4 linked regions of the Macaca mulatta genome follow. The protein of the gene in region 4 interacts with the protein of the main gene of each other region in a pairwise test. Links are inferred from orthologs where the notes say so. Each region holds a gene or a part of one and is shown on either strand. Other genes may lie near its edges.

The links.
Region 1: the proteins of AKT1 (region 4) and CEP76 interact in binary tests that used the Homo sapiens proteins (3 or more experiments, as listed by UniProt). The link is inferred for Macaca mulatta from reciprocal best matches to the Homo sapiens genes AKT1 and CEP76.
Region 2: the proteins of AKT1 (region 4) and RASSF1 interact in a protein complementation assay, tested with the Homo sapiens proteins (2 studies listed by BioGRID and IntAct, with this or other methods). The link is inferred for Macaca mulatta from reciprocal best matches to the Homo sapiens genes AKT1 and RASSF1.
Region 3: the proteins of AKT1 (region 4) and ARNT interact in a protein complementation assay, tested with the Homo sapiens proteins (2 studies listed by BioGRID and IntAct, with this or other methods). The link is inferred for Macaca mulatta from reciprocal best matches to the Homo sapiens genes AKT1 and ARNT.

What each region holds. Positions count from the first base shown.
Region 1 is NC_133423.1:83,351,831-83,359,043, forward strand, and holds part of CEP76 (centrosomal protein of 76 kDa), read right to left. Parts: intron 5,125-7,213; coding exon 4,958-5,124; intron 3,544-4,957; exon of another isoform or gene 3,367-3,543; intron 2,863-3,366; coding exon 2,529-2,862; intron 1-2,528. UniProt on the Homo sapiens protein: Centrosomal protein involved in regulation of centriole duplication. Required to limit centriole duplication to once per cell cycle by preventing centriole reduplication.
Region 2 is NC_133407.1:113,812,658-113,819,870, forward strand, and holds part of RASSF1 (ras association domain-containing protein 1), read right to left. Parts: intron 5,158-7,213; exon of another isoform or gene 5,049-5,157; intron 4,934-5,048; coding exon of another isoform or gene 4,922-4,933; coding exon 4,815-4,921; intron 4,467-4,814; coding exon 4,065-4,466; exon of another isoform or gene 2,926-4,064; intron 2,498-2,925; exon of another isoform or gene 2,350-2,497; intron 1,955-2,349; exon of another isoform or gene 349-1,954; intron 1-348. UniProt on the Homo sapiens protein: Potential tumor suppressor. Required for death receptor-dependent apoptosis. Mediates activation of STK3/MST2 and STK4/MST1 during Fas-induced apoptosis by preventing their dephosphorylation.
Region 3 is NC_133406.1:116,276,170-116,283,382, forward strand, and holds part of ARNT (aryl hydrocarbon receptor nuclear translocator), read left to right. Parts: intron 1-1,479; coding exon 1,480-1,606; intron 1,607-3,738; coding exon 3,739-3,804; intron 3,805-4,210; coding exon 4,211-4,296; intron 4,297-6,142; coding exon 6,143-6,219; intron 6,220-6,902; coding exon 6,903-7,037; intron 7,038-7,213. UniProt on the Homo sapiens protein: Required for activity of the AHR. Upon ligand binding, AHR translocates into the nucleus, where it heterodimerizes with ARNT and induces transcription by binding to xenobiotic response elements (XRE).
Region 4 is NC_133412.1:178,213,056-178,220,268, reverse strand, and holds part of AKT1 (RAC-alpha serine/threonine-protein kinase), read left to right. Parts: coding exon 1-6; intron 7-2,907; coding exon 2,908-3,019; intron 3,020-3,800; coding exon 3,801-3,948; intron 3,949-4,405; coding exon 4,406-4,537; intron 4,538-4,609; coding exon 4,610-4,675; intron 4,676-5,850; coding exon 5,851-5,919; intron 5,920-6,273; coding exon 6,274-6,399; intron 6,400-6,477; coding exon 6,478-6,606; intron 6,607-6,756; coding exon 6,757-6,971; intron 6,972-7,213. UniProt on the Homo sapiens protein: AKT1 is one of 3 closely related serine/threonine-protein kinases (AKT1, AKT2 and AKT3) called the AKT kinase, and which regulate many processes including metabolism, proliferation, cell survival, growth and angiogenesis.

The sequences.
Region 1 (7,213 bases), on a different chromosome or scaffold from region 4:
ACATATACTATAAGAGATAAAAAGATGAACACATTTTACAGGCCCCTAGGGAGCTTAAAACATATTTCTAATGTTAAAAACACATGATTCCACTTATTTTTTATTTTTTTTAATTTTTGGAGACAGAGTCTTACTCTGTTGCCCAGGCTGGAATGCAGTGGCACGATCTTGGCTCGCTGCAACCTCTGCCTCCCAGCTGATTATCCTGCCTCAGCCTCCTGAGTAGTTGGCATTACAGGCACCCACCACCAAGCCCGGCTAATTTTTGCATTTTTAGTAGAGACGGGGTTTCACCATGTTGGCCAGGCTGGTCTCGAACTCCTGACCTCAAGTGATCCACCCACCTTGGCCTCCCAAAGTGCTGGGATTTACAGGCGTGAGCCATCGCACCCAGCCCATGATTCCATTTGTAACACCAAATGATATCTATTGATATCTAGACATATGAAGTTAAAAATAATATTGTTACAAATACAAAAAATTCTCAAAATTCTAGATATTTTGATTATCGTAATGGGCTCTGGCATTTCCTCATTTCACATTCAAAGTTTTAACTCGTCACAAATGGTCTCAAAGGTCCATGGTTAACAATGCTTCTCCTGTGGCAAAATGTGAACTTTTGCTGATTTATAGGCACCTTAACTTAAATAGTGATCAACACTGGCATCCGTCACAGCTTCGTTTTCTTTTTCTATAAACAGTAATTCTTTCTTTCTTTTTTTTTTTTTGAGACAGGGTCTTACTCTGTCACCCAGGCTGGAGTGCAGTGGCACAATCTCGGCTCACTGCAGCCTCCGCCTCCCCGGCTCCTTTCACCTCAGCCTCCAAGTAGCTGGGACTGCAGGCATGCGCCACGACACCCGGCTAATTTTTGTACTTTTTGTAGAGACAGGGTCTCACCATGTTACCCAGGCTGGTCTTGAACTCCTGAGCTCAAGCGATCCACCCATCTCAGCCTCCCAAACTGCTGGGATTACAGGCGTGAGACACCATGCCTGGCCAAAAGTAATTCTTATAAGATACTGCTTTTATTTGTAAGCAGAACCTAAGAAAAGAAAGCTAAAGGCAATACAAGTGATGGAAGGAAATAAAAAGTAATAAGGGGCATTCATTTCCAGCAATATAATGGACCAGAGGTATCCTGACCAACTCTTGCTGAAACCATATTACAAACGCCAAGTTTTCCAAAATATATATTTAAATGCTTTGGTAAGTTGACAAGTGAATAAGAAATATATTAGAGGCCAAAGCTAAGAGTAACTGGGAACCCAGAGAACATGTTTGATAAATCAGTTTGCCTTTGATAGCCTCAAAGAACATAGAAAACAGGGCTCACCCAAGGTGGGGACTGGAACAGGGAACCCTAAAAGGCGAATGAGAACTCAATCTTGTAGGAATTTTGGATTCGAGTCCTTTGTTGGTGATACGTGTTACAAATAACTTTTCCCACCCCACAGCTTCAATCTCTTAATGTTTTCTTTTGATGAACTTAAGTCTTTAAGATATAATCTTTTCCTTTATGACTTAATACTTTTTATATCTTCTTAAAGGCACTTTACAAAGGAAATCTTCATGCTATTTGACAAGAGGCTTGATCTGGCTGGGCACAGTGGCTCACAACTGTAATCCCAGCACTTTGGGAGGCTGAGGCAGGTAGATCACTTCGAGACCAGCCTGGCCAACGTGGTGAAACCCTATCTCTACAAAAAATACAAAAATTGGCGGCATGGTAGCACATGTCTATAATCCCAGTCATTCAGGAGGCGGAGACAGGAGAATTGCTTAAACCTGGGAGGTGGAGGTTGCAGTGAACCAAGACCACGCCACTGCGCTCCAGCCTGGGTGGCAGAGCGAGAGACTCCATCTTAAAAATAAAAAATAAAAATAAAAATAAAAGAGGCTTGATCTCATAAGTAATCAGGGAAATGCAGATTAAAGCCAGACATCTACTTAGTTGAGTATAATATGAAAACAAACAGGAACCAACCTGGGGAGAAAAATGAATATGAAAAAAATATAACCCAGTATACATATTTTTTCTTTTAAAAATAATAGAGATAGTGTTTCATCATATTCCCCAGGCTGGTCTTGAATTCCTGGGCACAAGCGATCCACCCACCTCAGCCTCCCAGAGTGCTGGGATTATAGGCGTGAGCCATCAAGCCCAGCCTAACCCAGGATTTTTAAAGGGGCAAATATGTGAATAAGCATTTCACAAAGAGGAAATCCAAATAGTGGTATTCAGCAAAAATCTTGACTCTAAGGGATGTGAACAGGTTCACCATTCTTCATTTCTAAGAGGAAGTAATTCATTCTGTAAGTATTAATTAATTTGGAGATTTCTGAGTCTCAGAACTTAAACTTTCACGACTTTCAAAATTATAAGGTTCATAATAGTAGGGACTATAGTTGTTTTGTTCAGGTCTAGAATAGTGACTGGCACTATCACACACACCAGAAAAGAGTTAAATACAACAATACACAAATGAAAAGAAGTAGGAAACCACAACGGTCTCGGTGTGAATTACCTTCCTGTGCTCTGACACTAGGAGCCTCAGCTGCATCTCAATGTCATTGCTTGTTACTGACGCGTCGATTGTGGACGCGCACAGAGGTGGAAAGGGAGGAAGGGATGTTGTAGCTCCAGGAGCACACACAGATTTAATTGCTTCCTCACTCATGGGCTTCCATTTGGATTCATCATTCAAATCAAAGACACAGGTTTCTACTGCATCAGACGGTTGACAGTTTCCCAGGAACATCTGATGGTTGAAAACACAACCAATCGTTCGATATGGGTACAGTGGTTTGGGCTGTTCAGCAACTGGAGGTTCATCAGGATTGGCAGGTTTATGGATGTACCTAAAAAAATTAAATAATTTTACATATGAGAACTTAAAAATTAAGAAGGCAGCATCTTACTGAGAAAATTATTCTAACACTTAAGGCCATAACTACTTTTTCAGAACTAGAGTTTAATACTTTTTTTTCTTTATTTCCACAATTTGATTACTCTGTATTAATTGTATGGTACATCTTACAATACTGAAACCAACTCTAAACAACAGAATACATTCTGTGTATACTGTTAAGATCAAAGGCCGGGTGCGGTAATACCAGCACTTTGGTAGGCCAAGGCAGGTAGATCACTTGAGGTCAAGAGTTCGAGACCAGCCTGACCAACGTAGTGAAACCCTGTCTCTACTAAAAACACAAAAATTAGCTGGGCGTGGGAGTGCGTGCCTGTAGTCCCAGCTACTTGGGAGGCTGAGCAACAAGAGTGAAACTCCGTCTCCAAGAAAAAAAAAAATCAAAAAAGTTTGCTTTAGATAACATAATTAAAATAATCTGGTTATGCATTTTTAGGCACAACTAACCAAAACATCACTGTGCATGATTATCAACCAGGGAGAAAAAGGACTCAGGGAAATGAAGAGGGCCCATGGCCAAGCCTCTAGAACACATGCATTTGAAGACAAGATGAAGGAAAAACTGCGAACAGCCAGAGAGGAATAATGAATACTGAAAGACAATTACAAGAAATAAGCTAAGGAAAGAGAATATCCCAGGAAGAGAAGTGAGACAGCCAGGTGGAAAGGGGTCCCCAGAGAAACTCCAACCAGCCTGTGCACTGGGAGGAGCGTACACTGGGGTGGAGCCACACAAGTTCAGCAATTTGCAGTGGGGAGGAGCCTGGCCCCTCCTCTTCCTGAGTGGACCCTGGAAGTGAATCTGCGAGGCGGGAAGCACACTAGCGGGCGCTCTGGCTTTGTGGAGGGTCCCTGTTTCCCAGTTTTTTTCCTTTTTGTCCAATAAATTCCATTTTTCTCCCCCTTCAAATTGCCTACGAGCCTAATTTTTCGTGGCAGTGTGACAAAGATCCAGCTCTTAGCTGAACTAAGGAGGAAGTCCTACAACAGAGGTACTCAGCTCTTTCAAAATCTGATGACAGGCTAAAGTACTTCAAAAAATGTGTCCAGTGGATTGCCAACATGGAGATGGTAACCACATCAAATTTTAAAAAGAAATAATGATTTACAACTTGAACTTATTTTCAGGCTTAGGGATGATCATCAGAAAAAAACATATGCCGGCCAGGCGTGGTGGCTCAGCACTTTGGGAGGCCGTGGCGGACAGCCTGCTTGAGCCCAGGAATTAAAGACCAGCCCAGACAACACAGCAAAACCTCATCCCTCCAAAAAAATTAGCTAGGCATGGCTGTGCACACCTGCAGTCCCAGCTACCCAAGAGGCTGAGGTAGGAGGACCACTGGAACCCAGGAAGGGGATGCTGCAGTGGGCTGTGACTGTGCCACTACACTCCAGCCTGGGCAACAGAGTGAGACACTGCCAAAAAAAAAAAAAAGAGAGAAAACTGAAAAAAAAAAGATGCTAATCATACACAACTAGTAAATATAATTTACTGTTTACGAACATCATGTTGGTAAAGAATATTTGAGGTAAAAATTTTCTTAGAGTTCATTTACTTAGCTGCCATAATTGAAGTACTTTTTTACGTAATCACTAAAAAGGCTCTAACTAAAATCATCAACACGTACCTTCAAGTACCATCAATATGGACAAAAAACCCTTATAATTTAAAATACTTAAAACTTAAGCTGGGCACGGTGGCTCACGCCTGTAATCCCAGCGTGATTGGGGGACTGAGGTGGGTGGATCACCTGAGGTCAGGAGTTTGAGACCAGCCTGGCCAACATGGTGAAAACTTGTCTCTACTAAAATTATAAAAATCAGCCAGGTGCAGTGGCGTGCACCTGTAATCCCAGCTACTGGGAGGCTGAGCCAGGAGAATTGGCTTGAACCTGGGAGGTGGAGGTTGCAGTGAGCTGAGATTGTGCCAGTGCACTCCAGCCTGGGCAACAGAGCAAGACTCCGTCTCAAAAAAAAAAAAAACTTATAACTTCATTTTAATATCCTTATACACTTAGTAGACTAACCTGTGTCCTGTTAAACTCTCCCAAAAAGTGATGGTCCCATCAGTTCCACAAGTCATAACCCATGCATGAGGTACTCCTTTTGCCTTGGTCCCAACACAAACAAAGGCTTCTAATCCATATCCAAGAAGAAGGCTGCACAGAAGGTTAGCATGATCTTCACAGTCACCCTGGAAGATAAGACAAATTAAAATGAAGTATTCGTTCTTCCATATTGTTTCCTCATTACTTACTTAAATACAAAGTTATAATAAAAATTTATTGGCCGGGCACAGTGGCTCACGCCTGTAATCCCAACACTTTGGGAAGCCGAGGCGGGTGGATCACTTGACGTCAGGAGTTGGAGACCAGCCTGGCCAACATAGGGAAACCCCGTCTCTACTAAAAATACAAAAATTAGCTGGGCGTGGTGGTGCACACCCATAGTCCCAGCTACTCGGGAGGCAAGGCAAGAGAATCACTGGAACCCGGGAGGCAGAGGTTGCAGTGAGCTGCAATCGCGCCACTGCATTCCAGCCCGGGCAACAAAGTGAGACTCTGTTTCCAAAAAAAAAAAAAAAAGTTTTATAAAGAACTCACACAACATAGAAAGAAAAGTAGAATTTTTTTTTTTTTTGAGACAGCCTTTTGCCTGTCCTGTCACCCAGGCTGGTGACATGATTCACAGCAGCCTTGACCTCCCAAGCTTAAGTGATTTTCCTGTCTCAGTCTCCCAAGTAGCTGGAACTAAAGGTGTGCACTGCCACACCTAGCTAATTTTTTGTATAAACGGGGGTCTTACTGTGTTAACCAGGCTGCTCTTGAACTCCTGGGCTCAAGCAATCCTCCTGCCTCAGCGTCCCAAAGTGTTGGGATTATAGGCATGAGCTCCTGTTCCCAGCCTGGAATATTTTAATAGATTAATAGCTGAAGGACATGAACAAACAAGCAAACAAGTCATACAGCAAGAAATGCAAATAAATGGAAAGCACTCAACCAATGACTGATAGTATCTATATGTGATAATTTCAAGAAAATATATATATATAGGAAAAATGACTGGCAAGAACAACAACAAAATGCCAACAATGGTTACTACTGGGGAGGTTATATATAATTTTCCACTCTATTTTCCAGATTTTCTTTGAGGTGGTTATATTACTTTCAATTTTAAAAGTTATAAAGACCTATAAAAAACCAGAAAATATTAGCTGGGCATGGTGGTGTGTGCCTGTAATCCCAGCTACTCGGGAGGCTGAGGCAGGAGAATCACTTGAACCCGGGAGGCGGAGCTTGCAGTAAGCTGAGATCGTGCCACTGCACTCCAGCCTGGGCAACAGAGTGAGACTCTGTCTCAAAAAAAAAAAAAAAAAGAAAAGAAAAGAAAATATCTGATACTGTGTTTTGTGAAAAAAATTACTAAGATATTAAACAGTATGGCTACAATTTTGTATTTAAGTGTACGAAAACTACAGGCAAAAGCAAAAATAACTATTTGAGTTGCGTTTCAGAATGAAGAACTTTCTTTTTTTTTTTCCTCTCGAGATAGGGTCTAGTTCTGTCACCCAGGCTGGAGTGCAGTAGGGGCGATCTCAGCTCACTGCTGCCTTGACATCCTCAGCTCACTGCAGCCTTGACATCCCTAGCTCAAGCGATTCCCCCGCTTCAGTCTTCTGAATAGCTGGGACCACAGGCGCTCATCACCAGGCCCAGCAATTTTTTGTGTTTTTGTAGAGACGGGGTTTCGCCAAGTTGCCCTGGCTGGTCTCGAATTCCTGGGCTCAAGCAATCTGCTTGCCTCAGCCTCCCAAAGTGCTGAGACTACAGGCATGAGCCACCTTACCTCGCCAAGAAATTTCTTTCTCCAAAAAATTTGCATTGGTGGTGCTACAGTTTTTTTTTTTTAATTAACTGTAAGAAAACAAACAGCATTTTATAATTCTTAAAGTGACTTTACAAAAATGTAATAACCAATCTTTTATTTTTTAATTTACTTTTTTTTTTTTTGAGATGGAGTCTCGCTCTGTCACCCAGGCTGGAATGCAGTGGCATGACCTTGGCTCACTACAACCTCCTCCTCCCAGGTTCCAACGATTCTCCTGCCTCAGCCTCCAGAGTCGCTAGGACTACAGGTGTGCACTACCATACCCAGCTAATTTTTATATTTTTAGTAGAGACGGGGTTTCACCATTTTGGCCAGGTTGGTCTCGAACTCCTGACCTCAAGTGATCCGCCCACCTTGGCCTCCCAAAGTGCTGGCATTATAGGCATGAGCCACTG
Region 2 (7,213 bases), on a different chromosome or scaffold from region 4:
GCTCCAATCTGCCAGAGGTACACAGGCAGCTTCCTGGTGGGTTTCTGCACCTGCCAGTGCTGTCCGGGGATTTGGCCGAAAGATTTTTTTTTTTGAGACGAGGCCTCACTCTGTCGCTCAACCTGGAGCACAGTGGCTGGATCTTGGCTCACTGCAAGCTCTGCCTCCTGGGTTCAAGCGATTCTCCTGCCTCAGCCTCCCGAGTAGCTGGGACTACAGGTGCACGCCACAACACCACCCAGCTAATTTTTGTATTTTTAGTAGAGATGGGGTTTCACCACGTTGGCCAGGATGGTCTTGAACTCCGGAGACCTCAAGTGTTCCACCTGCCTTGGCCTCCCAAAGTGCTGGGATTATAGGCGTGAACCACTGAACCCGGCCCAAAGATTTTTAACTCCACCACTCACTCCCCATCTCATCTAGGGACTAGATTCTTGCCGGAAGGGTGGAGTGTGGGACAGGGCAGCCAGGCCTCTGAACTGACTTTCTTCTCCCAGACTCCCTTGGTTGGCCCCATTGCATCAGCCTAACTTCCTGTTGATGTCAGACAGGCCCTAGTTAGAATGGGAGTGTCACAGACACAGCTAAGCTCAGCACTGACCAATATTTTGTCCCAGAAGAATTCCCACAGGGTTTCCTGTAGAATGATCTTGTGCCCAGCCCAGGAGAGCCAGGGTTCTCCCTGACTCCGCCCTGAAGTCCCCTTAAGCGCTTAAACCATCTGATGGGGACAAATGGAGAGGACAGATGAGGGAGCAGGGTGGAGCCTTTTAGCAGAATGCTCCTCACCCAGAACCCGCTGCTATTCTGCAGCCAGCAAGGATGTGGGGCTGAGAACTGAGGCCAGGGCCTCACAGGAAAAAGGTAAAGGGGGAGGGGTGGGAACTGAAGCTCATTTGCTTCCCCAAGTATCCAAAGGTCTCCTGGATGGAGAACAGCATTGGAGTGAAAACCCCAGCACAAACCTTACTGGGGACAGTGGGCAACCTTGTCGGGTTAGTAAAAACAAATGGTGTGGCCCTGGAAAAAATGAGGGCCAGAGGCTATGAATAAAGCAGTGGATGTGTTTATTCAGTACACCAATGGGAAGAAGCACCCAGATGGGAGGAGTACTAGGGGTAGGAGAAATGCCAGGCAGATTCTAGTGCCAGGGCAAGAAGGAAGATCACTTTGTTTGCAGAACAGGGAGGGCACAGGGATGGCTCTGAGCTCCTACCTGAGAAAGCTTGCTCCTTCTTCCCTTTCTGGATGACCCAGGAGCCCTGGGTTGGGATGCAGTGACCTCATTTCCAGCCCCTTCCCTTCTGGAAATGAACCTCCCTATCTTCACTCAGAAAACAAGGGACTTGGACTAGAGGCACTACACAGCCCTTCCAGGATTCTAAAGGAGGAAGAGTTTCTTCTTCTGTTTCCAAAGCTGCCTGCTAGAAGAGGACTTCAACAGCCATCCCAGTTGGACGTATAGCAGGACCATGGAATTTCCCTTCTGCACCATAGGGACCCACCCTCCACTCTACCACTGTCCATGAAAACTGTTTTTGGTTTTGTTTTTTGAGACGGAATCTTGCTCTGTTGTCCAGGCTGGAGTGCAGTGGTGTGATCTTGGCTCACTGCAATCTCTGCCTCCTGGGTTCAGGCAATTCTCTGCCTCAGCCTCCCAAGTAGCTGGGATTACAGGTGCCTGCCACCAAACCTGGCTAATTTTTTGTATTTTTAGTTGAGATAGGGTTTCACCATTTTGGCCAGGCTGGTCTTGAACTCCTGACCTCGTGATCCACCCACCTCAGCTTCCCAAAGTGCTGGGATTAAAGGTGTGAGCCACTGTGCCTGGCCTAAAACTGATGGTTTTATTTTACATACGACTTGGGACTTCTCAGCCTCCTTTTCTTTCTTTTTTTTTTTTTTTTTTTTTTGACAGAGTCTTGCTCTCTCGTCCAGGCTGGAGTGCAGTGGCCCGATCTCGACTCACTGCAACGTCCATCTTCTGGGTTCAAGTGATTCTCCTGCCTCAGCTTCCCCAGTAGCTGGGATTACAGGTATACAACACCATGGTCAGCTAATTTTTTTGTATTTTCAGTAAAGACAGGGTTTTGCTATGTCGGCCTGGCTGGTCTTGAACTCTCGGCGTCAAGTGATACGCCTGCCTTGGCCTCCCAAAATGCTGAGATTACAGGCATGAGCCACCAAGCCCAGCCTTCTTTCTTTTTTTTTGAGACAGAGTCTTACCCTGTCACCCAGGCAGGAGTGCAGTGGCGCGATCTTGGCTGACTGCAACCTTTGCCTCCCGGTTCAAGTGATTCATAGTCTCCCAAGTAGCTGGGACTACAGGCACACACCACCATGTCCGGCTAATTTTTATATGTTTAGTAGAGACAGGGTTTCACCATGTTGGCCAGGCCGGCCTCGAATTCCTGATCACAAATGATCCGCCTGCCTCGGCCTCCCAAAGCATTGGCATTAGAGGTGTGAGCCACCGCACTTGGCTTCCTTTTCTATTTTTGAGACAGTCTCGCTCTGTCACTCAGGCTGGAGTGCATTGGCACGATCTTGGCTCACTGCAATCTCTGCCTCCCAGGTTCAAGTGATCCTCCTGCCTTACCCTCCCAAGTAGCTGGGATTACAGGTGTGTGCCTCCGTGGCTAGCCCTCCTTTTCTTTCTTTTTTTTTTTTTTTTTGAGACGGAGTCTTGCTCTGTCACCCAGGCTGGAGTGCAGTGGCCCGATCTCGGCTCACTGCAAGCTCCGCCTCCCGGGTTCACGCCATTCTCCTGCCTCAGCCTCCCGAGTAGCTGGGACTACAGGCGCCCGCCACCTCGCCCGGCTAGTTTTTTTGTATTTTTTAGTAGAGACGGGGTTTCACCGTGTTAGCCAGGATGGTCTCGATCTCCTGACCTCGTGATCCACCCGTCTCGGCCTCCCAAAGTGCTGGGATTACAGGCTTGAGCCACCGCGCCCGGCCTAGCCCTCCTTTTCAATTGGTTAGTGTCTTGTGGTTTTCCCACCTTCCCACAGTGGAAAATGGCTCAGGACTGAGTGACATGAAGACAAGCCCAGGGGTTTACACTCAACCCTTGCACCCAAGCTCTGGGCTAAGATTTTGGGGTGCTGAGCACCACCCCTTTTGTAAGGAATTTTGTAAAATTTTATCCAAAGCATCACTCACAACTCCACTTTCTTCACTTAAATAAGGATTTCCGCCCCATTGCTGCCAGGCATACTGAGCTTCACAGTCCCTATTTCTTTTTCCTGGTGCCTGGGCCTGGTTCTCTGAGCCTGGTGGTCACACCCATGACATCTGGCACAGAGTTCTCTAATAATGGGGATACCTAGGAGGTTCCGAGACACCTTACAGTCCTGGGTTAGTAACCTGGATCTCTTTCCACCTCTTTAGGCATTTTATAATCTACCCTTCCCCCTTCTTGTGGGTAAAGTGCTCCTGAATGCTTATGGTCCAAAATAAGACTTCTTTCCTATCCTATTTCCTATTTCCAAATCTTTCTCCAGATCCACCCTAGAGGAAGGGATCAAAATCTTTCACATTCCAGCAGCTGGTGACAGGCCAGAACAGGGAAGAGGTGAGGGCTCAGCTGGCTCCGTAAAGGAGTGCAAATGGAGGAGCAGGATCTCTCTCTGCCTCTCAGTTTTCCTAAACATACTTCTCAATTCCTGGCGAGGACTCCTCCCTCTCCACTTCCTCCCCTAGTCTCCCCAAGGAGGGAGCAGGAGCATCTGAACGCGGAAATCGAGGTGCTAGTCCAGACTGCTCGGTCGGCTTTAGTCATAGCTTGATAATGCCCGGCTCAGGTTTACCACAAGCCACACAGCTGCTTTCCCTGTTCAACCTGTCTGTGACAGAAACCATGGGGGCCCAGGCAACCAGTATCGAGGCGGTGGAATCGGGGTCTTACACACGGTTCTGCGGGCAGGCCACCGGCCAGGACACGCGGGGAGCCACGTAGCCGGGAGGGTGGGGCTGCCCACCGACCCAGGACGCGGCAACGGACCGGGGAGGGCGGAGCTCCAGCAATCGCCTCCCGTCCCCCGCCGGCACCCCCGGGCTCCCACCTGGTCCCGGCGCGGCCTGCGCGCTAGCGAGGTTCGCGCGGTGAAGTACTGCTCGAGCTCCGAGTCCGAGTCCTCTTGGCTGCAGTAGCCACTGCTCGTCGTGCTGCTCCAGGTCATCTCGAAAGAAGGCGTCTCCGCCTCGCCCATCGCCGCACCCGCCCGTCCCCCTGGTCCCGCGCGTCCGTAGCCACCAACCACCGCCCCGGTCGCGTGCGTGCGTGTACGCGTGTCAGTGTGCGCGTGCGCCCGGGCCAGCGCCGCGCCGCAACCGTTAAGACTGAAACGTAGATCGCCGGGATCTAGCTCTTGTGTCATTGGGGGAGGAACGCCGGGGCGGGGACACGCACACTTAGCCCCGAGGAATGACCTCATCGCTCCGGCAGCTCCACTCAGAGACCCCACCTACCACAGGGAACGGGGCGGGTGCCAGCGTCCGCGCAAGCGCACAAGGGTGGCCTCTGGCCGGAGGCGAGGGCGGGAAGGTGCGGGAAGTGCGCGTGCGCGGAGCCTGCGTCCGCCTTGGCTGGGGACTGCTAGCGGCTGGGGTCTGCTAGCAGCCGGTGGAGGCCTTGCGGAGCCGGCAATCCAGGCACCCCTCTCAGCCCTCGCTCAGAATTAGCCTCTCTCTGCCGCCGGGAAATCGGCACTTAGAACGCTCCTTGCGCGCAGCACCCAGGCAGTCTTCGAGAATGCCTGCGCTGTGGCCTGCCCGTCCTCGCCCTTCCCATACGCCCTCGGCCCCGCGCTCACCACGTTCGTGTCCCGCTCCACCGCGGGTTCCCAGCCCAGGTCCCGGGGCCCGCAGCAGTCCAGGCAGACGAGCGCGCGGCAGCGGTAGTGGCAGGTGAACTTGCAATCTGCAGAGAGGCCTAGCCGTGAGGCGGAGGAGCCCCAGGTCGGGGAAATGTCCGGGAGATTGAAGGGAAGCCCCAGGAAGAGGGCCGTTGCCCGCCAGGCTCCGCAGGCCCGGCTTCAGTGTTTTACCTTACACTGCTATGCGGACTTTAATGTTGGCCACCCTGGGTGTCTGGAAACCGGCCGGAAGGCCACAGCAGAGGCCTGCTCAACAGTTGGGATCTCTGTCGCCTAGCACAGAGCTTCCCCTTTCCTCATTGGCAATTAAAAAAAAAAAACCAAAAACCGGAGTCTTCCTTTTGTCACCCAGGCTGGAGTGCAATGGCGCGATTTCGGCTCGCTGCAACCTCCGCCTCCTGGGTTCAAGCGATTCTTCTGCCTCAGCCTCTCGAGTACCTGGAATTACAGGCGCCCGCCACCACGCCCCGCTAATTTTTGTATTTTTAGCAGAGACAGGGTTTCACCATGTTAGCCAGGCTGGTCTCAAACTCGTGACCTCAGGTGATCCACCCGCCTCGGCCTCCCAAAGTGCTGGGACTACAGGCGTGAGCCACCGCGCCCGGCCCTTCATTGGGAACTTCTATGGAATACATCTGCCCATTTACTTGAAGGAAAAACTAAACACCTTTAACCTACCTCTGCCCTCTGGTTGTCATCTGTCTGTACTCCCCTCAGACCAAAACATTGGTCTCTATACACTCTAATCCTTCGCCTTCACTCTCCCATCTACCCACTTCAGCCAGGCTTGCCTCTCCCTCCAGGAAACTGCCCAGGACAGGGTCCTCAGCGATCTATGCGCTGCCAAATGGAATGCAGTGTTCCATTCTCCATTCTCACCCACTCAGCATCATTTGAAGCTTGCTCCCTTTGACTCCCAGGGGCTACACTGCCAGTTTTCCTCCTACCCCCCCTGCAGCTCCTGCTCAGCTCCTTTGCAGATTCTGACTCAACTTCCGTATCTCATGATGAAGTCTGGGCTCAGTCCTGATCGCTGGCCTGGTCTGTCTACACAATCTTCTGCCCCAGATCCACAGCTGAAACACTGACCTAAACCCTCAGATTAGATCCTCCGTGCCAGTACCTTCACTAGGATGTCTAAAAGACGTTTCAAGTGAACATGGCCAAAATTTAATTCCCTTTTCTTCCACCTCACTGCTACCCTTGCCCAGCTTCCTCTTTGCAGCAAAAATGGCCACTATGCTCCCGGTTACTGGAAACAAAAACCCAAACTTATCGTTGATTCCTCCCTTGTCTCTACCTCTGATAAACATGCCCAAATCATCCTGCTTCTTATCTCTATGGCCACTTTATTTCTCTTTGAGAATGCTGCAGTGTCCCAGCCTTTTTCTTCCTTCCTTCCTTCTTTCTTTTTTTTTTTTTTTGAGACAGTCTCAATCTGTCCCCAAGGCTGGAGAGCAGTGGCGTGATTTCAGCTCACTGCAACCTCCGCCTCCTGGGTTCAAGCAATTCTCCCACCTCAACCTCCTGAGTAGCTGGGATTACAGGCACCCGCCACCACGCCTGGCTAATTTTTTTGTATTTTTTAGTAGAGACGGGGTTTCACCATGTTGGCCAGGCTGGTCTTGAACTCCTGACCTCAGGTGATCCACCCGCCTTGGCCTTCCAAAGTACTGGAATTACAGGCCTGAGCCACCGTGCTCGGCCCTTGTTTATTCTTTGTATTCTGTCACAACTTTGTGCTCCCCCCAGCTGAATTTGTGATGTCCTCTTGTACCAGATGAGAGGGTCTCCATGCACATACAGACCTGGGACACCATCTATCCACTAGTTCCTAAATGGGTCAGAGCACTGATGCTCAACCCAGACTCCATGTTACAATAATTTGGGGATTTAAAAAAATTTACTGCTGCCTTGAGTCCACTCCCAGCAGCTGATTCAATGGGTCTGAGGTGGCATCCAGGCTAGAGGGTGGGAGGGCTGTAAAAGCGCCCCTGGTGATTCCAGCTGGTGTCTAGCTAGGGGAGAGCAACCTTTGCTTGCTGGCGATTCCCAGGGGTGCAGAAGGACTGCTGGGTGTGTGGCTGCCTTCCATATTTTAGCTTCTGATTCAAGGGTGTTTGCTAAATACTCAACAAAACTCCTGCTTGCAGGGGGCACACCCAAGGTTCTAACTTTTTCCAGGCTCCCTCCCATAGGTGGGTAACTTCCCTTCACCCCAAAGGTTCTGGAGGGGGTCACAGTGAGTGAATGTTTGAGAAGAGGCAAGCCTGGGAAGATGGACTCCGAGGACAGTAGGCACAAACCCTTTCTCAAGAAAGGCCAAGGCATTTTAA
Region 3 (7,213 bases), on a different chromosome or scaffold from region 4:
TCTCCTTTAATGAATATAAAGGAGTTCTTTTTATCCATATGAGATTATCTACTTTGTGGCTCATCCTTAGAAAATATTTCATTAATGATAATATTTTACATTTATCTTAATATTAGTGTAAATAGAACAGTAAAAGCCAAACTTACAGTACTTTTTTTTTTTTTTTTTTCCATACTAAGGGAATTACCCATGCTTTTATCTCATTTGTATGGATAATTATCTGGTATTTTTTCTACCTCCTAGTGCTTGGCTTTGTGCTAGGTTCAATGATAACAGCTTTTTATTCTATAGATATGGTCATTGGTCGGTGTACAAGGTGTTTTATGTTGTTGTTTGTATCTGTACTGTTGTTCTTTTTTTCTCCCCTATTTTATTATGTTCAGTCTTTTGGCCAGAGTTTGGCTAGAGGAAACAAGTCATATCTATTCTTGAGCAACTCTAGAAAAAAATTTAAAGTGGAAGCAGATAAAAACTGGTAGTTAAAATGCAAGAAATTTCAATATACTCATATTAGTGTTGTTGATCTTTAGTTTTTCTCCTTTTTTTTCCCCCCAAAAAGAAACAGGGTCTCACTCTCTTGCCTAGGCTGGAGTGCAGTGGTGCATCATAGGTTACTGTAATCTTGAACTCTCCTGGGCTGAAGTGATCTGCCTTCTTACAGCTTCTTGAGTAGCTAGGAGTAGTTCATGTCACCACACTTGGCCAATTTTTAAATTTTTTGTAGAGACAGGTTCTGTCTGTTGCCCAGACTGGTCTCAAACTCCTGGTCTTCAGCATTCCTCCCACCTTGGCTTCTCAAAGTGCTGGGATTACCGGCATGGGCCACTGCACTTGACCAGTTTTCCCCTCCTGTATGTTTTTATGATTTCATTTTTCTAGTTCTTCCTTTTCCCCAAAAGTTGTTCTTCGTTTCTATATAATAAAGAAGACAAACAGATATATATGTTTCTATAACATATAAAATTACTTGGTTTTTTTATTTGTAAAATTTTTTATTTTTGTTTTGTTTTGAGACAAGGTCTTGCTTTATTGCTGAGGCTGGAGTACAGTGACTCTTCACAGGCACAGTCATAGCACACTATAGCCTCAAACTCCTGCGCTCAAGCAGTCCTCCTGCCTCAGCCTCCTGATTAGCTGAGACTACAGAAAATTACTTGTTTTTCAACCACTGACGTTTACTCTGTATGTATGTCTGTATGTGTATACAAATAATCAGGCATGAGAATATAGCCTTGCCTCTTGTTTTCTAATACTACTTTCCACTCCTACTTTTCCTTGCACAATGTTATTTTCAGTGCTGCCTTTGAACTTAAGAGTGAGATTCATTGATGATAATTGAAGTATTTTAGACTTAAAAAAAAAATCATCTCCTGCTTGGTCAGTTCTAAGCAAGGAGATTAAGGGCATGAATAGGATGCTTACTTATCTTTGCCTTCAGTGTCTCTCCCCCTCTTCCCCACACACAAAAATGCACTCCAGACTGCTCTTCACATCCTCCTTCAGGGCGTATCCTGGATCTAAAGACTGGAACAGTGAAAAAGGAAGGTCAACAGTCTTCCATGAGAATGTGTATGGGCTCAAGGAGATCATTTATTTGCCGAATGAGGTGAGTGTCAAGCTGAGGATTGTGATTTGGTATAGGAAGGATCAAGAGCTGAGAGTTTTATTTCTGTTGGAGTTAAGTTGGATTAGCTCCAGTGGATTAAACTTAACTCTCCCTACCCAGATGGATTGTAACACAGAATAAAGTATTTGGTAAAGGAACTAATGTTTCTGAACTTGCCAGACACTATGATAGGTGCTTTCTGTCATCTTATTTCATCCTCACAATTGCCCTGTAGTGTAAGATTGATGGTTACCGTTTTGCAGATGGAAAAACATATATAAAGAAATGAACTTGGCTGGGTGCGGTGGCTGAAGCCTCTAATCCCAGCACTTTGGTAGGCTGGGGAGGGTGGATCACCTAAGGTCAGGAGTTCGAGACCAGCCTGGCCACCATGGTGAAACCCCGTCCCTACTAAAAAAAAATACAAAATTCGACGGGTGTGGTGGTGTGCACCTGTAATCCCAGCCACTCGGAGGCTGAGGCAGGACAATTGCTTGAACCCAGGAGGCAGAGGTTGCAGTGAGCCGAGATTGTGCCATTGCACTCCAGCCTAGGCAAAAAGAGTAAAACTGTCTCAAAAAAAAAAAAAAGAGAAAAAGAAATGAATTTCCCACTATTACATAGTGTTTGATACAGGATTTTGTTTTAATTCATAGTTGTCTGACTACAAAACCTGTACTTTTTCCCCATTAAAACACAAGGCAATATCCATTTACTCAGACCATTTCTTCTTTTTGTTTTTGGTTAGAAATTTGAGACTTCCTATGTCTTTCAGTTAGTGTTTAGTGTTTATAAATGATATACTGTATATTTTAGGATTCTGTAGAAAAGATGGTGGTCCTTTCTAAACAGGTACAAAAGACATCTTGGGGTCACAAAATTCAGGTTATATAATGGAAATTGACTACATTGTACTAAAAGGATGGTTGCTAGAAATTATGGGTAGGATATTAAAGGTTTGCTTGGAGAGGCACAAAATTGAACATTATGTGGTTTAGTGATTTATTTTTATTTTTATTTATTTATTTTTTTGAGACAGAGTCTTGCTCTTTTGCCCAGGTTGGAGTGCAGTGGCATGATCTTGGCTCACTACAACCTCTACCTCCTAGGTTCAAGCGATTCTCATGCCTCAGTTTCCTGAGTAGCTGGATTGCAGGCGCATGCCACCACAGCTGGCTAATTTTTGTATTTTTAGTAGAAACAGTGTTTCACCATGTTGGCCAGCCGGCCTCAAACTCTTGACCTCAAGTGATTCGCCTGTCTCGGCCTCCCAAAGTGCTGAGATTACAGGCCTGAACCACTGTGCCCAGCTTGTAACTTAGAGTAGCTTCTAGACTCAGACTGCTGGATTTTGTTTTAATCCATATTCTGTGGATTTGAATTCTAGCTTTGATGCTATCTTCTGAAACCTTGGATGATTACATGACTATATTGTGCTTTGATTTAATCATCTCAATGGCGATAATGTTAATACTGACTTTATAAAGTTGTTATGAAGATTAGATGAATTAATATATGTAAAGATATTTAGAACAGAGCATGACATGTATTAACCCTATGTAACTTTTATTTTTATTTTATAGAATGGGGAGAGGGAAAGTAGCATTGGCAGGAGTATCCCAATATGTGGACATGGCTAATGCAAAGACATAGGCAAGAGTGAGATAATAATGAACTATAGCAATTACATTAAGTTGTGGTTAATGTAGAGCAGGAGTAAGCAAACCACAGCCCTTTGTTTGTAAATAAAGTTTTATTGGAACATAGCCATGCCCATATTTTTACATATTATCTATGGCTACTTTCATGCTATAATGCTAGAGTTGACTAGTTGCAACAGACCTTCTGGCCCATGAAGCTGAAAATACTTACTATCTGGTACTTTACAGAAAAAGCTTACCAACTCTTGTTGTTGAGAATATTTGCATTTGAAGAATATATGGAACATTTTGACTTCAAATTCTAAAAGTTCTAGAAATACTAAACCTGACTTACCTTTATCCTTCATTCTTAGAAGCATTACCAATTTTCTATGTCTAATTGTATCCAGAGCCTGTTATTCTGCTATTACTGTGGAAAGTTCTTTGATAGTGCAGCCTGATTGCTTTTAATCTCTTTGTTCTTTGAAACAGGTGTGGCAGTAGCTCTGTGGACCCAGTTTCTGTGAATAGGCTGAGCTTTGTGAGGAACAGATGCAGGTGAGATCCTAAGTGGTGAAAACCAAAGGGATGGCCAAATACCTGTAGAGATCATCACATTTTTACCTATCTTACTGTAGTTGTTCCTTCAGCAGCCCTCACTTTCATCCCTTACCTCCCAGTTACTTTTTTTTCTGGCAATATTTTCCTAAACTTCTAAAACTTCTCTTGAAAATCCTGTTTAAGGAAGTTGCTATGCTATTTTACCTGCTTTCCTCCTACTGCATACCTTTTGGTTACTTTACTTTGGCAAGGGTAAAAATGTGGTGGTCATTTTTGGGTGGGAAAGCTGATTATCCTGTTTTGTAAACTCCTAAGAGCCTAAACTTAAAGGTACTAAGCCAGCATTGCCCTTTGAGTTTTACTGGGTAGATTTTTTTTTTTCTAATTCCTGTAACTCTTCTAGGAATGGACTTGGCTCTGTAAAGGATGGGGAACCTCACTTCGTGGTGGTCCACTGCACAGGCTACATCAAGGCCTGGCCCCCAGCAGGTAAGAAAGTGAAACAGTAGATATTTCCCCTTAGAGCCGTTGGTTTCTCACAGAGTCCATGAAAACTAATATTTATTATATACCTGGTATATGAAATGTACTTTTGTATAATATGAAAGAAAATAGGAAAGTAAAATACACAATCTTTCCCTTCCGTTATTGAGCTTTTATTCCAGTTGAGGAGATAGATAATTCAGGCTGGAAAATGATTCAGTGTTGGCTATGTCACAGAATGTGGTCTTTAAATGCACAAATTTATACTGAACGTATGTGTTCTAAGCATTTCTTGCAAAGAAGCATAGACATTGAATGCAGTTAATTTGAGAAAGCTTTCTAAACTAGGAACAAGACTTTGAGGGAAAAGGGGGAAATGCCTTTATTGTAATAACTTATTGAGGATATTCTCTGCAAAGGCTTTAAATCAAGCTTTGAGCAGATTGGCTTTACTAGAACTTGAGGTCAAACACGGAATGTGAGAAAGGTGATTGGGTTGCAGGGATCAACGTTTTAAGTTGGCTTGTCAGAGTTTCCAAATCTTAGCAACTTTATTACTTCCCTGCCGCATGGATATTATTGGAAAGTAGGGATTTGGGGGAGACAGAAACTAAGAGAAAAGAGAAGCAAGGTGATGTGTTTCAGAAAGAGGTTAAACTTTGGACGTGGAAAAACCTGGGTATGATTCCTGTCATTGTTATTTATTAGTGGCATTGCCTAGGGTAAGTTGCTTGACCTTTATAAAGCTCAGTTTTCTCATCTGTAATTTGGAGTTAGTACATCCTGTATAGGGGTTTTGTGAGGATTAGATTTAATTTAAGGAAAGCATCCAGCCCAGTGCCTGGCATGTGGCAGGTACCCAATAAAAGTAGTTAATGTAATTAAAAAAAATTTCACTGAAGTAGTAATGACATTTGAATTAGTCTATATACTACATAATCCATACATTTAAAGTATGTTATCTTTCGTACCTCTGTGTAGCATCAAGGAGTACTATTTTTCTGGATAAAAAGAAACTGTGCAAACAATAGGGGAGAAATGCAGTCTTCTTCCTTTTCTCTGTAAAACATTGGTTTCTCTCTTTTCCAAGGGACATGAATAACTATTGATGGTTGGTATAACTTCATTTTGGGTTGCTTGCTAACTTTAAAAGTCACAGATGAGGCAAAGCATACATTTTCTGCCTATAACATGGTCATAGAATGGATGTCTTCATATATGCCTTATTTGGCCAGCATAGTTTTTTAGAATACTCTGGGTAGGACTTGTATTTCCAGTTTACTATAATTAACATGGGTAAAAGGTAGGAATCAATATATATGTAAATACTTAAAACAATGACTGGCATATATGGTAAATTTTACGTAATTGTTTATTTTTATTCTTATTTATCATTCTCTATTGCTTTATGCTTAGCCTCTTCATAACTGGATGTATTTTGTTTTGTTTTGCTTTTTGTTTTTTTTTTTTGAGAGGGAGTCTCACTCTGTCTGTCACCCAGACTGGAGTGCAGTGGCGCAATCTCGGTTCTCTGCAGCCTCTACCTCCTGGGTTCAAGTGATTCTCTCACCTCAGCCTCCCAAGTAGCTGAGATTACAGGCGCATGCCACCACGCCTGGCTAATTTTTGTATTTTTAGTAGAGATGGGGTTTCACCGTGTTGGTCAGGCTGGCCTCAAGCTCCTGTCCTCAAGTGATCTGCCCACCTCGGCTTCCCAAATTGTTGGGATTACAGGCGTGAGCCACGGTACCTGGCCCATAAATAGGTCTATTTTGAATCTTTACTTGTCTGAGTTTTGAAGGCATTTGAGTTGGAGGTCCCTGTTAAACCTTTTAACCTCACCTTTCTGAAGGTGTTTCCCTCCCAGATGATGACCCAGAGGCTGGCCAGGGAAGCAAGTTTTGCCTAGTGGCCATTGGCAGATTGCAGGCAAGTATGAATTTTCCATATGTATATCCCCTTTCAATTAGAAAAAATCTTCAGGACTCATTCCTGTTAATTTTCTTTTACTTTCTGAATACAAATGAAGAATTCCACAAAACTGTAAAAATTTGAAGGAATATGGCATTTATAGTGACCATTGCTATTCTTGGACTTAAGTAGAAGTTGAAAAGCATGAGAGGAGGGAGATCTTTTTCCCCTTGTCTTAATTTTAGCTTTACTATGCTTAATTTTCAATTGCCAGTTAATCTCCTTTCCCCCTGTACAAAAGAAGAAAGATCCTTTTCATTTTATCATTACCTGACTAACATTAGAAAAGTGGAATTATTTTGATTTTTTTTCATAAGTATAGATAAGTTTCTTGGTTACTTGTACCATATCAGCCTGAGTAATGAGCTCAGCCTAGCTAGATGAAAGTATGTGGATTTTGGGTTGAATAAACTTTATTCTTACTTTACTAACTTGGTAAAGTGTAAATGTTTGGGAGTAGAGCTAGACCTTATGCCTTGTCTGATTGTGATTGTCATTTTTTTTCCTTTTTGGATAAAATGTGAACGTTTAGAAAGTCCTAAAACGGAATCTTATGTGTATGCAAAAGACCATGAGGAGATAGGAAATACATCTGTAAAGACTGGTGTCATTTTACCTCATTTTTATCTCTTCACTCTCAGGTAACTAGTTCTCCCAATTGTACAGACATGAGTAATGTTTGTCAACCAACAGAGTTCATCTCCCGACACAACATTGAGGGAATCTTCACTTTTGTGGATCACCGCTGTGTGGCTACTGTTGGCTACCAACCGCAGGTGAGGAGCTGGAGCTATTACATCACTAATACCTAGGCCTCCATTTTCCTTTGGCTGTTTTGAGATTATGTAATCATGTAGTTCCTAAGATAGCCAAAACATACCAACCTCAGTTGAGAAAAAGAGATCATCATATTCTGTTAGTACCTAACATTATTTTCAGCTTCCTATTAGGA
Region 4 (7,213 bases):
TGGCACGTAAGTGTCCCCTCAGCCTTTCGGGATTCAGATTTGGGGTTGGCTGGAGCCCTCTTTGCCCACCAGGCCCCCCGATGGGGGTGCCCTGGAGCCTCCATGTTCTGGGCCAGCAAGCAACAAGCACGGGTTGGGTGGGGGTCTCTGGGCTGAGTCCCGAGGCTGGCTGGGCAGGGGTCTCCAGGCTGAGTCCCAAAGCCGAGGCTGACTGGGTGGGGGTCTCCAGGCTGAGTCCTAAGGCTGAGGCTGGCTAGGCGAGGGTCTCTGGGCCGAGTCCCGAGGCCGAGGCTGGCTGGGCAGGGGTCTCTGAGCTGAGTCCTGAGGCTGGCTAGGCGGGGGTCTCTGGGCCGAGTCCCGAGGCCGAGGCTGGCTGGGCAGGGGTCTCTGAGCTGAGTCCTGAGGCTGGCTAGGCGGGGGTCTCTGGGCCGAGTCCCGAGGCCGAGGCTGGCTGGGCAGGGGTCTCTGAGCTGAGTCCTGAGGCTGGCTAGGCGGGGGTCTCTGGGCCGAGTCCCAATGCTGGCTGACTGTGGAGCAGTTCCCTGGTGCCCATGCTCTGGAGGCTGGAGGGTCCAGACAAGTGGTAGCAGAGCCTAGCCTCAGGGTGGACAGCTGACCCGGGGGCCCCTCCTCCAAGCGGGGCAGATAGAGCCCACCTGGGTCTCTAGCTCTGAAGCCTCCATCACTCGAGGAAGAGCTCATGCCTCTGCCCGCACAGGCGCTCGGTCCCCAAACCCCGTGGCGGAACCTTTGCTTCCCTCTGTGAGGCTGCAGGCTGGAAGCCTCCTTGCCCACGAAGGGGCGGGTGCAGAAAGGCCAGCGGGGGACCTTGGCCAGAGCATCCCACAGAGATGAGAGACGTGACACTCCCTGCTTCGCCCTGCTGTGGCTTTATTTCCTACCTGTAGCGGGGGCAGGTGCGACCCTACCCATGTTAGACGGGAACCCTGGCATGGAGACCCAGGCGCCCTGCTAGGTGGGAGGCTGGGGGCACGTGGGCCTCCCAGCATGGTCCCCATTTTCTGTGTCCCTGTCCTGGAGCCCAGCTCTGCCCGTGGCAGCCAAAGGTGTGATTGAGTAGCTAAGTAGGACCCAGTTGTGGGCCATCTGTATGTGGCAGGGCTGCGTAACTTGCCCCACGCCCTCCCCAGTGTCTCCTTGGTTGGGGCTGGGGGCTTCAGGGATCAGGGAGAGGCTGGATACTCGCTGTGTGCCTGGTGGCACCTGGGACAGGGCCTTGCTGGGGACGGGTGCTGTGGGTGTGCTCGCCAGGCCGAGGCATCAGGAAGGAAGGAAGAGGGGAGCTCTCTGGGGAGGCACACGGGTGGGTACCAGCTGGGGTGGTGCCTGAGCAGCCGGCAAGGCTGGGGCCTTCAGATGAGGCCATAGGTGGGTGGTCTGGAGTGCCTGGCCAAGGAGCAGAGCTGGGCAGGGGCCAGGAGCTTTTCTCCGGGGAAGGGTTCCGGGGCAGTGGGCTCGAGACCCTGGCCCTGGGGATTGCATATTAGGGCAGATCAGACCATCCAGGAGCAAGTGGGAGGTGGGTGTGCCGGGGCTTCACACTGGTTTCCACTTCTCTGGCCTGTGTTGACACAGGCCACCCTCCCCACCAGGCTGGTCCCGAGCCCCCTCCTGGCCCCCAGGCCTGGAAGACAGCTCCCTCGCTGCCTGGCCAGGCCCCCTTGTGGTTGCCAGGGCCTCGATGCTGGAATGTCAGAGGCCCCCTACTGGCCCCTCAGCCCCCTCCTGCTTTGCACAGGCTGGGCCAGAGCCTGCCAAGGAGCCCCAGCGGCTACACACTGCACTCACTCACACCTCTCAGGGCCCCGCACGTTCCCACAGCCCTCAGGGTGTATGTGCAGTAGGAATGGCTGTGCCCCACGTATGTGTTCCCCAGGTGTGTGTGCGCTCCAGGTGTGTGTGTGCCCCAGGTGTGGCTGTGCACCAGATGTGGCTGTGCCCCAGGTGTGTGTGTGCCCCAGATGTGGCTGTGCCCCGAGTGTGGGTGTGCCCCGGGTGTGGGTGTGTTCCACGTGTGGGTGTACCCCTGGTGTGACTGTGTGCCCCAGGTGTGGCTGTGTTCCGAGTGTGGCTGTGCCCCACATGTGGGTGTGCCCCGGGTGTGACTGTGCCCCAGATGTGGGTGTGCCCTGGGTGTGACTGTTCTGGGTGTGGCTGTGCCCCACATATGTGTGTGCCCCGGGTGTGGGTGTGCTCCAGGTGTGGGTGTGCCCCAGATGTGGGTGTGCCCTGGGTGTGGGTGTGCTCCAGGTTTGGGTGTGCACCAGGTGTGGGTGTGCACCAGGTATGGTGTGCCCCAGGTGTGGCTGTGCCCCAGGTGTGGCTGTGCCCCGGGTGTGACTGTGCACCAGGTGTGGTGTGCCCCGGGTGTGGTGTGCCCCAGGTGTGGCTGTGCACCAGGTGTGGCTGTGCCCCCAGGTGTGCGTGTGCCCCCAGGTGTATTTCCCAGGTACTCAGGGTGAGATTGGGAAAATAGCAGGACATTTCTACACTAGGTGGGACAAGCTGCTTTCTGGGGTGGCCCCCTCATGCCAGCCCCTCTGTGGGATCTCCATATCCCTCATCCTCTGAGGCCTGGTGCACGGTGGGGCTCAGTGACTGAAGGAAGGGGACTGTAGGAGGGGACGATGCGGGGGGGTTGACCTGACCTTGGGCCAGATGCCCTTTGGGGCTGCCTCAACCTGGAATAGAGTGTCTGAGCTGGAATGGGGGTCCTAGCCCCACTCTATGAGGCGAGAAACTGAGGCTTGGAGAGAGGAGGAGGTGGGGCTTCCTAGGACTTGTGGGTGGTATGCAAGGGGAGCTGGCTGGTGCGGTGGGGACTGTGGTGAGGGCCCTGGGAGGGGCAGGGGGATGCATGCAGACAGAGGCTCTGCTTGCCCGCAGAGTGCCAGCTGATGAAGACGGAGCGGCCCCGGCCCAACACCTTCATCATCCGCTGCCTGCAGTGGACCACTGTCATCGAACGCACCTTCCACGTGGAGACTCCCGAGGAGCGGTACGTGGGCTGCGGCGGCCAGGCCGGGCACTTGGGCAGCCCTAGCGCTTAGGAGGGACGTGGGGATGGCGGGTGCTGGGCGCCTCTGCCTATAGCCATCCTTACTCCCCAGTGATCCCAGGCCCTCCTCAGAGCCCGGTTTGGAAACTGGCCCAGTCCTGTGGGGTTGGGTGGGGAAACTGAGGCTGGAGATAAAAACTGTCTAGGGACCGGGCACAGTGGCCGACATCTATAATCTTGGCACTTTGGGAGGCTGAGATGGGCAGATCACTTGAGACCAGGAGTTCAAGACCGGCCTGGCCAACATGGTGAAACCCCCGCCTCTACTAAAAATATAAAACTTAGCTGGGTGTGGTGGTGCACACCTGTGATCCCAGCTACTTGGGAGGCTGAGGCACAAGAATTGCTTGAACCCAAGAGGCGGAGGCCGCAGTGAGCCGAGATTGTACCAGTGCACTCCAGCCTGGGTGATAGAGCAAGCCTGGGGGGCGGAGTCCTGCTGTGGGCCTGGGTCCTGCTGGGGGTTGGAGTTTGCCTGTGGGGACAGAGCCCTGCTGGGGGCTTGAACCCTACTTGGGGGCTAAGCCTGCGTGTCCCTCAGGTCCAGAAGGGCTTTCTGACCCTGAGTGTGTGTGGCCAGCCCAGGTCAAGGGGTGGCCTCCTCAGGGCTGTCTCTGGGGACCCCGCTTGTGAGGCTGGAGGGTGGGTGTAAGCCGTGGGGTGGAGCTCCTGACCTCATGGGGTGAGGTGCAGGGCTACAGCCTCACCTGACCTCCTGCAGGGAGGAGTGGACAACCGCCATCCAGACAGTGGCCGATGGCCTCAAGAAGCACGAGGAGGAGATGATGGACTTCCGGTCGGGCTCACCCAGCGACAACTCAGGGGCTGAAGAGATGGAGGTGTCCCTGGCCAAACCCAAGCACCGTGTGGTAAGGCCTGTCCCCCTTTCTGCCTATGCCTGGGGCTACCTTGGGCTGTGGAGAGCTGGGTGGGTCATGGGGTCCCAGCTTGGCCCAGGAGACACTCAGCACTCCACAGCATCCCCATCTAGGCCGGTTTTCCATGTGGGGCGCAGCTGCTTCCCAGGTGGGTCCTCTTCCCTATGTCAGAGAAATAGTGGGGCTGCTGAGCCCTGCCAGGCTTGGGCAGTGTTACCCCACCCTTCCCCGAACCCCACGCTCTGAGCTAGGGCTGCACCGTGTGTTCCCTGTAAGTCCGGACTCCCCGCTGAGCCCCGCAGGCCACCAGGTGTGAAGCGGTCGCCTCTCCTGGCTCCGCCTCCAAGTCTGCCAAGGGTGACTCTGGGGCCCCCATGCCACCTGACACATGCCGACCAGCTGGGCACTGTGGGCAGCGCCCCCCGCTGACCCTGGTGCCTGCCCACAGACCATGAACGAGTTTGAGTACCTGAAGCTGCTGGGCAAGGGCACTTTCGGGAAGGTGATCCTGGTGAAGGAGAAGGCAACGGGCCGCTACTATGCCATGAAGATCCTCAAGAAGGAGGTCATCGTGGCCAAGGTGGGGCCGGGGTGGTGGGGCAGGGTGGAGACGAGGATGCTGGGCGGCAGCTCACCCAGCCCTGCCTTACAGGACGAGGTGGCCCACACACTCACCGAGAACCGTGTTCTGCAGAACTCCAGGCACCCCTTCCTCACGGTGAGTGGGAGCCCAGATGGGGCTGAAGGGCTGGGGTCAGGTGGCGACTCCTGGGGCTGTCTCTAGGGAACGATGTCCTGTCTTCTTGGGCACGTGAGGACTTTACGCACCGCGGATTCTGCCGCTGGTGACAGGCCTGCCCCGGAGGGTCAGGCTGTGGAGGTGCCCGATGTGGGCTGGGGGCTGTGCTCGCCGCTCCTGTGTGCAGGCAGGTGGGGCAGGTGGCCCTGGTCGTCTTTGCACTCTGCCGAGGCTCCGGGAGGCCCCAGCTCCCCATGCCCTGCAGCCCTGCCTGCCAGGCTTCTGTTGAGGCCCGGGCTCTGTCCTGGGGAGCCCGTTCTGGGGACTCGACCCAGGAGGTATTTACTGTGAAGGGGGCCAGACTCCAGCCACGTGGTTAGTTCCAGGTCACTGTGTTTGGGGATGATTCTCCTGCAGAAGGGGCCTTTGCTTTAAAAGCACAGCCGCCTGTGGTGGAAGGCAGGAAGGTGGCTCTGCCTGGGAGGGTGCATCCTCCCTTGCCAGGGCTCTGGTGCTGGGAGCACTGCCCCCTGTTGAGGTCCCAACCCGCCCTGGAGACCTGAGCCCAGGCCACTTTGCTCACCTTTCAAACACTCCTTGGCGCCTCAGGGGCTGCCAGGGCCCAGCCTGATGGCGTGGTGTGGGGGTGTGGCATGAGGCAGTGTGATGTGGGGGTGTGTGGTGTGGGACAATGTGGTGTGAGACAGTGTGATGTGGGGGTGTGTGGTGTGGGACAATGTGGTGTGAGGCAGTGTGATGTGGGGGTGTGTGGTGTGGGACAATGTGGTGTGAGACAGTGTGATGTGGGGGTGTGTGGTGTGGGACAATGTGGTGTGAGACAGTGTGATGTGGGGGTGTGTGGTGTGGGACAATGTGGTGTGAGGCAGTGTGATGTGGGGGTGTGGTGCGGGGCAGCGTGGTGTGGGGCAGCGTGGTATCGGGCAATGTGGTGTGAGGCAGCGTGGCGTGGGGCTACGGGTGGCATGGTATCGGGTGGCATGGTATCAAGCAGCATGGTATCAGGCAGCGTGGTGTCGGGCAGCATGGTGTGGGGCTACGGGTGGCATGGTATCAAGCAGCATGGTATCGGGCAGCGTGGTGTGGGGCTGCTGTCCTGCCCGTGGGGCTGCAGTTCCAGCTCCGCTTCCTTGCAGGCCCTGAAGTACTCCTTCCAGACCCACGACCGCCTCTGCTTCGTCATGGAGTACGCCAATGGGGGCGAGGTAGGGGCTGGGGCTGCGGGGGATGGGCCTCACGGCCTGTGGACCCAGCCCTGGCAGCTGGGCCACCCATAGTGGGGCTGGTCCTTCCCGGAACCTCGGCTACTCTCCACAGCACCAGACGGTGCTCCCTGCTGGGTGGGTGGTATGACGCCTGCCCAGGCAGCTGCCTGCTGTGGGGTGACTTGTTCCTGCTGAGTTAGGGCTTCTGAGACTTTCCAGGCCCCCGTGCCCTCTGGGGGCTGGTCCCTTCCCTGTGCCCAATGCCCTGAGCCCCTGCCTGAGAAACCCCAACCCTGCAGGCCGTGGGGGCAGAGGCCCCGGCCACGGCTGTGCCTCAGGTCGTGCTTCCCACAGCTCTTCTTCCACCTGTCCCGGGAGCGTGTGTTCTCTGAGGACCGGGCCCGCTTCTATGGCGCCGAGATCGTGTCAGCCCTGGACTACCTGCACTCGGAGAAGAATGTGGTGTACCGGGACCTCAAGGTGCGCCGGCGGGCACTCGGGGTGGGGGCAGGGCCCTGGGAGCCTGGCGGCACTGACCTGAGGCCACCTTTCCCCTAGCTGGAGAACCTCATGCTGGACAAGGACGGGCACATTAAGATCACAGACTTCGGGCTGTGCAAGGAGGGGATCAAGGACGGCGCCACCATGAAGACCTTCTGCGGCACACCTGAGTACCTGGCCCCCGAGGTGTGCGCCCCACCTGTGTGCATACGCGTCGCTGTGTCCCCACGTCCCGAGCACACGCAAAGCTGTGTCCTCTCTGTGCCCCAAGCACGTCACGACACCTCCCCCGGACACCCCCTGATGCCGAGTCCTGCCCATCTGCCGCCCGTGCAGGTGCTGGAGGACAATGACTACGGCCGTGCGGTGGACTGGTGGGGGCTGGGCGTGGTCATGTATGAGATGATGTGCGGCCGCCTGCCCTTCTACAACCAGGACCACGAGAAGCTTTTTGAGCTCATCCTCATGGAGGAGATCCGCTTCCCGCGCACGCTTGGTCCTGAGGCCAAGTCCTTGCTCTCAGGGCTGCTCAAGAAGGACCCCAAGCAGAGGTGAGGGCCACCCATCCCGGCTGCAGGCTCCACCTCCATCCCCTCACCCCCAGGCTGCACCTGCCCCTGTGCCAGGCGGTCCTGGCACCTCCCAGACTACACTGACAGCCAGAGCTTGATGTCCTTGGCCAGGGCTGATCCCCAAAGCCTCAGGCACAGGCAGAGTGGCTGGGTAGGGCAGGGTCAGTTGGGCCTCCATCCCCAACCCTGCAGCCCCCACACCCCCAACTCAGGAAGCCCCT